Lepisosteus oculatus: one gene and its partner. The protein of the gene in region 1 interacts with the protein of each later gene in a pairwise test. Links are inferred from orthologs where the notes say so. Each region holds a gene or a part of one and is shown on either strand. Other genes may lie near its edges.

The links.
Region 2: the proteins of usp47 (region 1) and ap4m1 interact in binary tests that used the Homo sapiens proteins (3 or more experiments, as listed by UniProt). The two-hybrid records come from large-scale screens. The link is inferred for Lepisosteus oculatus from reciprocal best matches to the Homo sapiens genes USP47 and AP4M1.

What each region holds. Positions count from the first base shown.
Region 1 is NC_090716.1:8,616,408-8,623,775, reverse strand, and holds the start of usp47 (ubiquitin carboxyl-terminal hydrolase 47), read right to left. Parts: upstream 3,072-7,368; 5' UTR 2,884-3,071; coding exon 2,809-2,883; intron 893-2,808; coding exon 833-892; exon of another isoform or gene 804-832; coding exon of another isoform or gene 783-803; intron 1-782. UniProt on the Homo sapiens protein: Ubiquitin-specific protease that specifically deubiquitinates monoubiquitinated DNA polymerase beta (POLB), stabilizing POLB thereby playing a role in base-excision repair (BER). Acts as a regulator of cell growth and genome integrity.
Region 2 is NC_090698.1:12,408,239-12,415,874, forward strand, and holds the start of ap4m1 (AP-4 complex subunit mu-1), read right to left. Parts: upstream 3,037-7,636; 5' UTR 2,907-3,036; intron 2,643-2,906; 5' UTR 2,639-2,642; coding exon 2,581-2,638; intron 2,068-2,580; coding exon 1,979-2,067; intron 863-1,978; coding exon 756-862; intron 1-755. UniProt on the Homo sapiens protein: Component of the adaptor protein complex 4 (AP-4). Adaptor protein complexes are vesicle coat components involved both in vesicle formation and cargo selection. They control the vesicular transport of proteins in different trafficking pathways.

The DNA of each region.
Region 1 (7,368 bases):
CTCAAAGCGTATGAACAGCGACTGGAAAAACTCATCCGATGCATTATAAAACCAATGAGCTGGACATACAGTATCTAGTGGCCTACAGTAATGTAGGAATAGGCTGCTTTGAGCACATCTGTGAATGGCTAGCACTTGTTTTAATTCAAACACTTGCATGCATGTTAGTCTTAGGCAAATGCTCTTTAGGCCATGTTGTGGATTAGTTTCAATCTCTGAAAAACATTGTAATTGCAAATGAAAGGCTTTTTGTGACTTTTCTTTTTATCTAACCATGTGCACAGTATACTAATCTCCATGCTGTCCTAACGTTCCATAATAATCACATCCCATGCTGTGATCTGCAATGCTCTCTTATAGTGTCTACCTTAGGACATTTTTTATTTCTCTTCCAGTTATCTGATATCCAGAACTACACAGTTTCATCCTTAATGGTATGCTATTATTTTGGTTATATTGTAACTGCTGCAGCAATTATTTCCTGCAATGTACAGAACCTGTACATATGGACTGGAAGTTTTGCTCAGTGTTTTTTAGATTTAGAAATGTTCCTTAGATTACTTTCCGAGTAATGGCAAGAGATGCAAAAAAAAAACATACAATGTTTCCTAAACTGTATTGCGTTTTTAAGTGTTAGTTAAATTTGTTGATTATTCAACATCTTCACAGGTACCACCACCACAGGTTATTGGTACTGCAGCTGTGCCCAACACTCAACAGTATAAGGTGGGTAAACATTAAAAATGCCATGCTACTTGACAGCAGTGAGCTGAACAACTTACAGCAGTGCACCATGCTGCCATCTCATGCTTTGGCTTCACCAAAGATCTACCTGAGAGAATTTCTTCTTCATCTCATCAAAAATACTCTGTCTGCAACTCCAAAACTTACCCTGTGGCAAGTGGAAAGAAAAACAAAACACTCTGTTGTTATGGAGCCAATTGGTTGTCCAGTTCATACTGCGGTCTGGACCTGTGTTCACTTGTACCTAATGGTTATGTCAAGGAAGGGGCTACAGCAGACTCAGCTGGACAGGGGGCCAGAATTACTGCAGTTTCCCTCAAACCAAGCTTTTACATTCGCATAAACCAATTCAGACAAATTTTCAGAATCACTCTCAAGAATAGTTTCGCACTACTTCACAGGAGATATCCAAATTCTAAAGAAACTGTCTACCAAAACATTATTTGGTAGACAGTTTCTTATTATTTCCAGTCTTGACGCCACTTTTCAGTTTTGCTTTAAGATTCAGCAGATTGTTTTTTAAAAAGTCTCCTTCGTTCCATCGAACATCCGATATGATTTATTCATCACGAGCTAGCAGACATAAGATAACTTTCCAAAACTATAGTTAGAGGCTCTAAAAAGCCCAACTTGTCAACACATCAAAGAGTATTATCGGATTAGAGGTATTTTTAACAACAGATAATAACACTGCGTGCTGATTCAAAGCTTCTGACACTGAGAAGCTGGTTCACCATAGAAAGTGAACTTGAAAAAGGAATTTTTCTTCCAAGTCTCCTCATTTTATAATTGTAAAGAACATATACATTTTCACAAAATATGAAAAGGTCTGGAACATCCCACGCTGCAATCTTCTCTCTAAAGAAGGAAAAAGTCCTTCTTCAGTTTAAAAAGACTAACAGCAGGTAAAATATTCATAGGTTTATACAGTAAAAACCCAGTTGGATTAATAAGGGGAAGGGGTGTCCATTATTGCAAAATGTCTGTTAATTTATCAAATAATATTTTTCAGCTCAAACATACCATGGGAAATACATACTTTATATACATTTTCTTGAACTTTTGCCATTTTTTAACAATTAAAATGATTGCAGTCAATGAAATCAATGAAAATAATTCACGTGTCTTTTCTTAAATATACAAGTTCTTTACTTCATGTGTCATAAATATACTTTATACAATTCACTAAAGCATACAAACACATCATAAGCAACTGACCTATACAGATATTCCTAAATTTTAAACTTATGTAACCCTTTATACATTGTTTTACTAGTTGTGCAATTCCCCTTAATTGTGTGGAAAGACCAATATTTCTGATTTTACAGACAAAATTCCCCTTTAGCAGATTTTGTTCATTAAATCCAACATCTATTAAACCTGAGGTTTACAGTACAGTTAGAAAAATTGCATTTAAAAAGCCTCTAAAACCTATGATTAATCCAGTGGTTATATATTGATCATTTATACATTTATTGAATTACAAATGTAATCTTGTAATATAAAAAGTTATATTTGTGACGTAAACATTCATGCATCTTCATGTATTCTTCAAATGTTCAGACTCCCTTATACTAAAGAATGTTTTTATAATATATTTAAATACATCAAAACAATCCCCAATTAAAATTAAAGTTTCCAAACAGAAAACAAAGGTAGTATTCTACAGCAATGCAGTATTTCTGTATCTACCCAACTGAAATATTTTCCCACAGCAGATAACATCACAGAAACTTCAAAGGTTGATAAAGAAGGTTAAATAGTGAAATTAAGAACAATAATAAAAAAATCTCCATCATAGTTGTGTAAACTAATATTAAAAATGTATCAGCTACACTAAAGTGATAAATAATCATTCGAGTATGTCGAATAATCAAATAATTCAGGATGTCAGCTTTCAGCAGCATTGAATATTAAGCAATATTAAGCAAACAGTAAAATATCTAAAGCGCAAACAATAAAATAAGATTGAGATATGCCTTTTTTAAGAAAAACAAATAAATGTCATTAACAGGTTTAATCAACTTCTGCATTCACCCCACAGGAATAAAAACAGTATACTACCTGGCTTGGAGATATTAACTGGAAACTCTTCTTTGGCTTTAAACCTGACATCAAATTTTGTAAAACTTTCAACATTAGCAATCTGGTATTATCTTCTTCCAGACTCCCACTGCTCAACAAGTTTATAATTAAGCAGTTCTGGGAAGGCAGAATCTTGGACAGGCTAGTGCATAGGCCTGCTGATAATATCAGTGTTTTGCTTGTAGTTTGTAAAAGATGTTTAAAACATCAAAATAATTCATCTTAACTGTTAATGCCTACATAGAGAATATAAATCTAATGAGACAACAAATCAAAGTGCTACACTTTTTAAATGACTAAATATAAAAACTATTTTGTGTTTTATCCTTTTCACCTTAAAACAAGAAAATGAAAGTTTATCACTTCCTTGTTTTACAGTATCTGTACTACTGTGAAGCACTTCCTGCCAAAAAGCCAATCCAGACTGACTTACTACTTTTTCTGCCAATCAGAAACACTCAGGGGAGAGCCTGTCAGCACTCAGATTAATATTATGTTCTCTAGAAAAGGAGTGCCAGAAGCTGCTTATCAAAAAAACATTACTTCCTGATACTTCCAGGTAACATACATTTTTGCACAAAAAAATACCAGCCTAAGAAAAAAACCTTACAAAATCAAGCATATAATATTAACTTAAATTTCAGTAAGAACAACATTAAAACTAATAATTTTGAAATCTTCATTGTTTTCATTTTTAAACATTCTTAAAAATCACACAGATCTTGTCACAAGCCCAGTTAGCTGGAATGTCACCACATTCATAAACTGAAAATCACTGCACAGCATGGATTTGTTTTGCATTCACTGTAAAGCTGAAAAACCCTGTGTGCATGGGCTTCAGAAGGGTAGAGACTGAAGCAATGCTCCTAATTTGTCTCAGGAAAACAGCATTGCAAGTGCCAACAGGACACTGTGTGCCATGGGTTTAGCAACACTGCAAACCCGTGATCTACTGTACAAGCAAGTCTACTATTCTCGTATGTGCAGATAAAATTAGGTAACAGATCTAAAACGGATTTATATCAGTAAACAATGTATTTATTTTAGAAGTAAGGCATTCCAGTACAATAAAGTCTCACTAATAAAACTGAAAACGTAATTAGCCTGCAACATTAATTTCTACAAATATTTCAATCAGGATAGTGTTTCATGTGAACTGTTGTATCGACCAGGACTGCTTTCTAGGACTAATTACAGAACTGACAAAAATATCCATACTGCCCAGCTGACTCACCCTTGAGTATAAGACTTCTGTCAAACATTTTAATTTGTGGTAGCAGGTGGCCATTCTCAGATTTTTATTTTAAACACTTACTAGTGTAAGAGTGCCCAGCAGTGTTCTGATAAAAATAAAGAATTGGGGCTTGTTTATGCTTGCAGTTGACAACTAGATCATCTCCAACAATATCTTCCTTACATTAACTTTACCTCTACAATATTTACGCAGAAAAGTATACAAATGAGAGAAGGTCTTTCAACCAATCTAGAGGAGCAATAAGTGGAACCACATAATACCATATTGCCCCTATATTTGGTCTATATTTGTAAATATTTTTTCTACCCAAAGTTTAGTCTATATCTTACAGAAAAAGCTGAGAGGTTGAATATTCAAAGGATTTGTGTTAAGAGGAAGAGAGCACTTTGTGAGCTGTGCAGTACTAGTGCCTTGTTATTAATCGGCTACCCTAGTGTGCTTATGTCCTCTGAAATTGCACTGTGCTTGGAGTCCTCATTGAAAACTGGCAAGAAAGAAAAGGATAATTAGTTATTCATTTTGTAGAAGGTAGTTCTTTAAGAATACATTGTACTAAAATGTGGATTTATCATTTTAGCTTGACATCTGAAGACCCATTTTTTTTCTTTGTATTGCAAAGTTGTAACTAGAAATGGATTTGTATAAAATTATAGCCTCCCCACCACTGTGCTTTTACAAATGGATCCTAAAATTTGAGTTTGAAATTCATACAATACAATGTATGAATACCTGAACGTCCACTCTAAACAGGAAGGATGAGCATTTACCACTTGTCACAGGCATTCGTTATATTTAAAAGTGTTCTTTCGCAAGTTTAAAATTTACATTTAGAGATTAATAAACTGAACTATTAAATACAATTATGAAAAATAAAGAAAATTCCAATGTCAATATCAGGTAACGCCAGTTACAGGGACCTTGCAAGAAATCAGGTTCTGGCAATTTAATTTAAACAAATACTTATTTTCATCTGGATAATTTATTAGAAGAGAACTACTAAGCAGTTAATACTGTTCTAAACACTGACGACATGAAGGCCCAAAGACTGTTTTGCTGAAAAAGTCCAGAAACGCTGAAGTTCCCAAAAATTAATTAGCACTGTTTAGCACTGCTGTCACTGTGGTCTAGTCTGCAAGTTTTAATGTAGTGTCCAGATTGCATAATGCTAGTAATAACTAACTTCCACTCCAAATTTTAACAGTAATACATCTGCCTATTTCTAAGCCTTGAAGACCCATTCCCTATACTTTCTGTTCTACTGTTAGCCGTCTGAAAAAAATATCACAAATATCCATCTTAGTGTCCCTCATGGTCATGAGTGATGACAAAAAAATAAACAGACTTTATGTAACTATGTCCTATCATAACACAGACAGCATTGTACTAAAAGTACTGTGTAAACAATAATAGTCGTGTTTTGTATTAAAAAAGAAACCCTGAAGGCTAAGACTACAAAGATTTTAACCTCAAAGTTTCAGGATTGCTCAAGTAGCTGGAATCTAAGAAGGCTATAATTTCATATTCTGTTTTGAAATCAACTTATAAAATCATTCCTTAGTGTTTAAGGGAGAAAAGCACAACATATCAGTCCAGAATTCGTACCTTTCTTGCAAAGGAATTCTAGCAATTGCATGGAAAGCAGTATTCTTGGAAATTTTATTAATGTTTCCAAATTTACGAAATTATTTGGTTCCCCATTTACGAAAGATCAATTTGTCAAAGTTATAGCAACTACTTAATTTTCAGAAACAGACACTGAATACCAAGAGAGGGGTTATAATATGGTTCAGCAAAGTGATTACAAAAGACAGAACAATGAGTCACTCTAGGTCTTTGCTCACTATTGGGCTGACTTGATTACAGTACCAAGCAGATTATAGGACTTAATATCATCTTGAAAACATGTCATTGAGAATAATTGAGAAAGCATCTCCATTTGCCTTACATTATGCTAATCATTGTCTTTCCCCAAGCTCCTTTCCAACTTCTATAAAAAAAATACATTTTAAAATAAGAAATAAATTGTATTTCAATATATTAAGATGAATAATCACTCCACTTAGTGCCATAGTTATCATAGTAACAATTCAATCTTAAGCTGTGACAGTTCAGTGTATAAAATGTAAGGTAAGCCACCTAGGATAAAAGCATCTTTTAAATATCATACCTTAGAGCACTGCATACCCACATTCTGAACTGTGTCTTGTCCAGTCAAATGCAATTTACCAAACATGATAAGAGTTTTTATGTTTAAATCTGTAACACTGAAAAAGAAGCATTTATATTGATATTGCATTTAATAACATAAGGCGACCAATTTAAAACTAAGAAAAATTTACACCAATACAAGGTCAGCATGATTTATGGTGAACAAAAACAAAACAATTTTGTTCACCAAAAACGTGGGACAGTAATATTAGGAAATGTTTCTACATATTCTATTCTATAGTCCTGTAGCCTACGTCACTATGTATGGTGGTTTTAGATTCACCTTTTGCAATATTTTCAGCAATACATACTACAAATACATTGTACTTATTTTTTCATTTGAAATGCTTTTACATCTTTTGATTACATATTTCAGCTGACCAGTTTATGTTATATTTACTGCTGTGTATCTTTTAGCATACTTTAATTATACTACACAGCACTACATTAATTAACTATTTTATGAGGATCATAAACAGTTGGCTTATACAGTTGCACAGGAATAAATTACAATTAATATGGTCACACTGCATTCTATTACTTTGTAAATAGAATTATCTGAAATACAGTACAGAATATTCCATATTCTATTCTTCTGCTGAAGGTAATGTTCTAAAGACAGCAAACATTGAATAATGGTTCCTATGATTTACAAACACATCATAACTATTACAGTGAAAGCTTATATTTTGAATTCTTAAAATTCAGTTCTTTCTAATGGGTTACATCTTAGCCCTCATTTCATTGCATTCAACGAATATTCTTTAAGACAGAAAAGTTGCTTCATAAAGTATATCTCACATACAATGAAATGTATTTGAGATACACTACTACAGGCATTGCTTGTTTGGTGTGCCTTCAAAAGCAAAAGTGGAACATGGTGTACTGTTTTTGTACTTGTTTTTTTGTTTTATAAACAGGTTACATTTTAAACCTTTAGTTGCTAGTATAAAGAAAAACAACTACAGACTCCATCTGCTGAGTCAGGCTGTACAAGTTGTGAAAATGATATAACTTTCCAATAAAAACAGTGACACCCTGTAGCACAAAAAACACTTAATGCTATCTCAACTGAG
Region 2 (7,636 bases), on another chromosome or scaffold:
CACTGCTCCGTCTCTGTACACACACACACACCCCCACACCATCACTGCTCCGTTTCTGTACACACACACACACCCCACACCATCACTGCTCCGTCTCTGTACTGTACACACACACACACCCCACACCATCACTGCTCCGTCTCTGTACACACACACACACCCCCCACACCATCACTGCTCCGTCTCTGTACACACACACACACACCACACACCATCACTGCTCCGTCTCTGTACACACACACACACCCCCCACACCATCACTGCTCCGTCTCTGTACACACACACACACCCCACACCATCACTGCTCCGTCTCTGTACACACACACACACCCCACACCATCACTGCTCCGTCTCTGTACACACACACACACCATCACTGCTCCGTCTCTGTACACACACACACACACCATCACTGCTCCGTCTCTGTACACACACCCACACACCATCACTGCTCCGTCTCTGTACACACACCCCACACCATCACTGCTCCGTCTCTGTACACACACACACACACCATCACTGCTCCGTCTCTGTACACACACACACACACATCACTGCTCCGTCTCTGTACACACACACACACACACACATCACTGCTCCGTCTCTGTACACACACACACACACCATCACTGCTCCGTCTCTGTACACACACACACACACCCCCACACACCATCACTGCTCCGTCTCTGTACACACACACACCCCCCCACACCATCACTGCTCCGTCTCTGTACACACACACACGAACAGATTACCTGTTCAGGAACTCGATGACAGTGAAGGGCGACAGGTTGGCGGTTGTTGTGGCCACGAAGTAGAGCCCCCCCTGTCGGATGTGAATGAAGTGCAGCCCCTCGTGACTCTAGAAGAGAAACAGACGCACATGGGGGCAGGGTCTCTCTTCTTATATAATAATAATAATAATAATAATAATAATAATAATAATAATAATAATAATAATAATAGTGTTTCTTTATTAGCACTATACAATTTCTTGCATTAGGAATTCCTCTTTTCGCATACCCCAGCTTTTCTCCAAGGAGACACAGACACACAGACAGGGAGAGAAGCTTGGGGTCAGAGCGCAGGGTCTGCCATTGTACGGCGCCCCTGGAGCAGTTGGGGTTAAGGGCCTTGCCCAGGGGCCCAATGGAGTAGGATTCCTCTGCCGGCCGCGGGATTTGAACCGGCAACCTTCCAGATCCTTAGCCACAGAGCCACCGCTCCGCCTACTTGATGGTCCTGCACCCCCAAGCACACCAGCAGTCACTGCAGTCTACAGCTCCGGGCCCCCGTGGCTCAGAGGAGGGTCAGCAGTGACATCGCTGGGGGGGCTGAGCCTCCTGAGGCTGCTGTCAAGTCGGGGGTAGGACCAGAGCCACACTCTTCACACAGATCAGACAGCGCCCCCCAGTGGTGGAGCCAGACCCTGTATCACTCTTCCATGGGACTCCAGTGTTATAGGTCAACCTCAAAAAAACCAGGAGCTCTTGGAAGGGAGGCATCAGTTAATCAGGCAATGTGCTCCATTAAAGAAACTCCCGGAATCTGCTTGCAGATCATTACTGAAATTTAACTAGTTACCCACAAGGGACCACAACAATCGTGTTGCCAGAACGTAGGCATAAGCAGCCCGTGTGCAGCAGGAGCCAGCCCTAAACTCAGCTGATGATAACGGGTGACAGGACACACTCATCACCTCTCCCACATGCTCGAGAGAGAACGCGTGTCCTGAGCTCACACAGGCAATGAGCTAACGGGTCCACGCCCACAAACGGACAGGAGGAACGACTTCGGGAGAGGAGGCCGAGGGAAAGGGAGCCGTGAGAACAAGGGCCTGGTCACGGGCGAGTGAAAGATTAATACCAGTCTCACTCACTCGTGACCACCACCCAGTCTAGGCCCTGTGGGCAGAGAGGACCTGCAGAAACGCACCGCGCTTGGACAATTACAGCAATAAGAATCAGAGGACTGCTACCATGACAACGGGAGGCTGGTCTCCAGGCAACGCCGTCACCTTCTCGTAGAAAACGCCGACGACATCACTCCCCGCCTCCCCGCGAACTGCTGACATCATCAGTCAAGGAGTGCCAGTCGCGGGCGGTTTGGCTGGCATCGCTCCGCGGTACCGAAGCGACCACGGAGCCAGTTAACACTGCTGAACACACCAGTATTCCACAAGCGAGCTCGTGGGGAAAGGAGCGCTCCACAAAGCAGATACAGGGCGGAGTAATTGTCCGACACAAACAGGAATGTAAGCAAAACAACACAAAGTAAAGAAAGTGCAGAGAGAGGTCTTCAGGGTGAGACAGACACGACCCAGAGAGACAGACAGGTCAGAGAGACGTCTTCAGGGAGAGACAGACATGTCAGAGAGGTCTTCAGGGCGAGACAGACGGGTCAGAAAGAGGTCTTCAGGGCGAGACAGAGACGACCCAGAGAGACAGACAGGTCAGAGAGATAGGGACAACCCAGAGAGACAGACAGGTCAGAGAGAGGTATTCAGGGAGAGACAGACAGGTCCCTGAGCGGGGTCCTGGTTACTGACAGTGAGTTTGGCCCAGGGCGCAAAAAGGATACAGTCTTTATAAATCAGGTGATCCCCCTTGGCAGACAAGATGAACACCTGGGAGATCATACCGCTGTAACAAGCACACGTCGAATTAATAGCAGAACAACGCGAGTCCTCGGAGCAGGCGTTTAGAACCGCTAAAGACATTTATAGGACTGTGTAACAAGTCTGGTTTTACAAATGATTGAATATGTTGTCTTTTTCTTTCACGCTGCTTTCTAACACTGCAGTTATGAAACATAGCGGTATAATGGCATCAACATCGCTGAAACAACACAAAGCTATATATATAGATCTATCCGGACAGATTTTAAGATCTGACAAACGGTAATACCTAACACCTTGTGGAGGCCTCCTCCAAACTGCCGACTCTCGAGTGACCACAGTGCCGCAGACAGCTAAAATCTGCCAGGGTACCGAAACTGAACACAACCGGCGATCTGCCAAAACACAGTAAGACACACGCCTGACCGCTTCTCATTGGCCCATCGCTAACCGGCCGTCACTGTGATTGGATACATTCAGCCAATGGGAGGACTCGAAGGTATCAGCTGACCGTCCTCCCCTCTTCCCATCCGGCGCGCTGTGTGGTGGGGGGTTATCCGGTTAGGCGTTACACAGCACAAAAACACGAAGATTGTTTTTCTTCGGGTGTGATTTTACAGTTAGACTCAATTTAGTTTAGAAATCATTGATCTGTGCTGCCGACTGATAGAGTAGTTTAACACAGAACAAAAGTGCCACAACACATTTATTGTCCCTGTTGTCTACATTGTGTGGTGTTGTCTGTGTATATCGCGAGAGATCAGCGTGATTAAGAATTCCAACGTACATGTACATATGGCAATAAACTACTCTTAACTTTCAACTGGCTTATTTATATAACAACAATGTATAATTTTTAGTGCCTTGTTTTAGTTACACGGGTGCTTTATTAACACGTAGCGGCGTTATTTACAATGTGAGAGTCCACAGACTACTCGTCCACCTGTGACAGCAGTTGTCATTAATTCACTGATTACAGGCTAAGGGGAAAAAGGTTTGGCGCCAAAAAGCCTGTTCTGTGAAGGACGAGTCCATTGGGATATTTGTACAATGGCACGGGGGTGGAAGAAATATATCTATATGAACTGTACATTTTGTGTTCCGTTCTATGTATCATATCCTAAATACTTAAAATAGAATTTACAAATATACTTTCGCTATAAGGATTTATTCCATTCTTATAATAATTTCTATCCCGTTTTTCTCTTCTTTTTTCCCCATCTTCCCCCCCACTTCCAGCTTTGTTTTTAACATTTTTCGCGCCAGAGGCGGTTCCCGATTCTCTGATTGGCTGCCAACCTAGCTTCCAAGGCTTTCGCGCCACTCGCGAACCCTGCCTACGTCACTCGATTCCCGAGCGATGATTGGCTGAGCGGGGAGCCGGACTGGCGCCAGTTTTCGCAGGGCTTTGGGAGACCGTGAGCCGTTCTGTACCGAGTGGCCCCGCGGCTGGACTCTTCGAGAAAGACACGCTATTTTCACAACGTATAATTAAACCATTTTCTTCTTGCCTGTTCCCGTGACTTCGCGTCGGGTTCCAGCAGCTATGCCTCCTAAGGACTACCAGGCGGAGAAGGGTGAGTTTCTGTGCCTTTGTGTGTAATGGGCTCGTTACTCGATAAGGCGCCGGTCCACCCGTGCACGGATCAGGCTGGTTTGAAAATATGGAGAATAAGCTCTGCTGTCAGCGTGCCCAGCGCCTGTCGGTACTTAAATAACTCGTCTGCAGGGTGCTCATTTGAAGTGTATGATGCGACACATCTCCTAGGCGCTGGGCAGTGGAGAGCGCCGATCCGCCTCGGTGTTTTACATTAAACTACAGGGCTGGGCAGCTGTGTCTGTGTCCCGTTCAGCTGTAGGACTGTGAAAATGCCAGAGGCGTTCGGGTGACCGTGCTTGACGTGACGTTAGTGAAGCAACAGCTGTTGCACGAACTCCGTGTCGTGGCCGTGGGCTCCGCAGCGGCTCCCGGCTGCGACCCGGATGGAACTCGGAGACAAAGAGTTCAGCGCGAGGCGCACATGGCCGCGGGGGGAGGGGCGACCTTTAACCCCGGCGGACGCAGCGGACGGGCCCGCTGGGTTGCGGGAAGTGCCGACGGCCGGGCCTACGCGTTATACGGATGCCGGTCGTGGGCGATGTGTCCGTTTTCGTTTCCTTCTCGCCAGTTTGCGGAGCGTTCTCGAAAGGGCGCCTGTAGGTCCTGTGATGGCTTCCTGTCCCGTCCCGTCCTGCTTGTACCCTGCACTGCTGAAGCCAGGCGGGACAGCACGTTCAGAGAGATGGGCTTTGTACAGGATGGGCCGCTGGCTGTGCAGTGTGCGCTCCAGGCAGCTGTGCTTCCTATTCCGGAGACTAGGAAGACAGAGACTCTTGCATCTTGAACAGGAAGTTTCAGTTCCTGCCTTCAGCATAGCTACAGCACAGCTCCTTGCCCAGCTGGTCGGTCTGTTTCAGATGCTGAAGGCGTGGCACAGGAACTTGCTGATTACAGCTCCGGTGTCCCAGGTTCGATTCTGGTTTGTTGGGGCCTGTCTGTGTGGACTTTGCATGTTCTGTTTAGGTTCTTGAGTGTTGGCCAGGTGCTTCAGTTTCCTTCCAGCTCCCACAGAGATCTGAGCTGTTTCACTAGATCATCTGAACCATCCCAGGGGGAGATGCCAGAGGCAGTTCGTGCTGGGGACTCCAGTACTGGCTGCAAGACTACAGAGACACAGATCTAGTTCCAGGAGGCTTTCTGATCCGAATCAGTTGGTGATGATGGATCAGATGAGCCAAAATGTCTGTTTTTACTGCCATTCCACCCATGTGAAGAAATGGGAACCAGCTTCTCCACCTGGTGCTGGGGCAAACCCCGGAGTCTGGGTGCAGCAGGTGTCTGGTCACCCTTGTGTATGGCCATGCCTGTGTTCAGAGTTGCAGCGGGGAGGCAAAGGGCAGAGTTCATATGTGAAAGGTCACAGCGTTTGGGGTGCTGCTCAGGGCCTGCTGATCGCTGGCTCGTCAGTGCCCAGTGAGGGAGAAGGTTCTGTGGCGCTGGCTCCTGGACCTTGAGCTAGCGAGGCAGCACCAATGCCGATTTGCTGGCAGAGTGGCTTTCCAGGACAGGCTTGGAGGAATTTAGATTTCGGGATTGGGAGCATTTAAGGACGGGGCTGGCTTTGGAACTCTCTGACCTGTCACCTATCATAGGCTGTGCTGTGTGTGAGCTGATAGTACTGATGTCAATGTAATGAATGAGGACCTGTTGGAAACGCCCCCCTGTCAGATCATGGGCCAACCCAGTCAGGCTCCGCTAGTGTTCTGTCCCGGGTTCAAACCAGCAACATCCAGGCCACAGGCCTCATCCTGTGTTTCAAGGATCCTGCTTGTTGTTTAAAAGTAATTTAACTGCTGATCTGCTCGACTCCTGCCTCAGACCAAAGGAACTGTGCAGGACGACTGAACTGTTTCAGTTGCATTACTATGCAGGGCCCTGCTCAGCCTGCTGTGGCTACTCTGCTATAGAGAGCAGAGAGCTGCGACTCTTGTTTTCGGGTGTGGGGTGTGAGACTGGGGGACAGCTGTGGGCCTGGCCTGCAAACTCATTTCGGAACGGCTCTCAGCTACAGGTGTGAACTCATTCTTGATTTGATTGTAACATTGAGCATCTCCCAGCTAAAGAGATCTGTCAGACCCGAAGGGCTCTGGACCCCTAGGCCTGCAGGAGGTACCACTGACTTAGGAGGACCCTTTAATCAGAAGAGGTAGCATACTGGGGTACCTCAAGAACAAATATTGATGCTCTGAGAAACTGAGGGTAAATGTGTTTAAAGTCAGATGTGCCCAAAAAGTATCCAAATATTTCACAAAAGGTTTGATGCATTTTTAACCTACTTTTATTTGTAGTAGAATAACAACACTTATTCTTGCACATCACTGTTGTTGATAAGATCTTTCTCTTTTTTTTCTCAGGACACGTAGTCTCGGACCCTCTCTGGTCCAGTGAGCTCAGTACATGTTTACCCAACCCAGATGAACTACAAAGTAGCTTGTATTTCATCTGAATGTATTTGCATTAACATTATTTTCACAAACTAGATCAGTCCCTTTCACATATTTACACCCAATGACGGCACCACTGAACACCACAAGCTGAGAAATCATTACTGAATCTAGATTTCATCATATGTGAAGCGAAATGGAACAGGAGATTGTGAAATTGGTCATCTTGGGAGTTCCCTTCTTCCAGATGGAAAGATTGTTTTTATAAAAGAAATCCCAGAGGGCATGTATATTGACAGTTCAGTTAATGAGGTTGTAGTCCGTTAGTGAAGTACAGTAGCCTTTTCTGGGTACAGAGCAGCAAAACATGAGTAAAATATTTAAAAAAACATTTAACTATACTGAATTACCTCAGATCTCTTCTCTTAGTTGATTAGATATTAAATAAAAAAGGACATTATTTTACAATATGTACATCTCACCAAAGTGCACATTGTTTATGGAAAAGTAAGAAAATAAGTTACATGACAATTCTTAAATTCTTATTCAGGACACCTCAAGTCAAGGTTGTTGGCTGAAGCTGTATGGGATTATTGAAAGTCATAAAACAGGACATCATTTTCTTTCAGTGGGTAGCTGCGTCAGCATGCGTAGGCTGCAAAGGAACAAGTAATAGGTTTATTCCATGCTGAAAAAAAGAAGAAAGAGAACACAACGTTTCGGCCGAAACGTTCTGTTCTCTTTCTTCTTTTTTTCGGCATGGAATAAACCTATTACTTGTTCCTTTGCATCATTTCCTTTACTCTAGGATACATTTGCATGAATAGCTGAAAACTGTGTACATTATTGAACCTTGCAAACGATCATTATGCGTTCCTCCTATTGCTATATCCAGTTTTTGTAAAAGCTAAACGGCAGAATTCTTTCCCAAGCCTGCGTACAGCGAACACAAGAGCTCCGTGTGTTTTCCTTGTTGAGAGAGTTTGTTCGCTTCACTTCATTGTGTCGCACTCGGCTCCGGTTTCCACTCTCCTG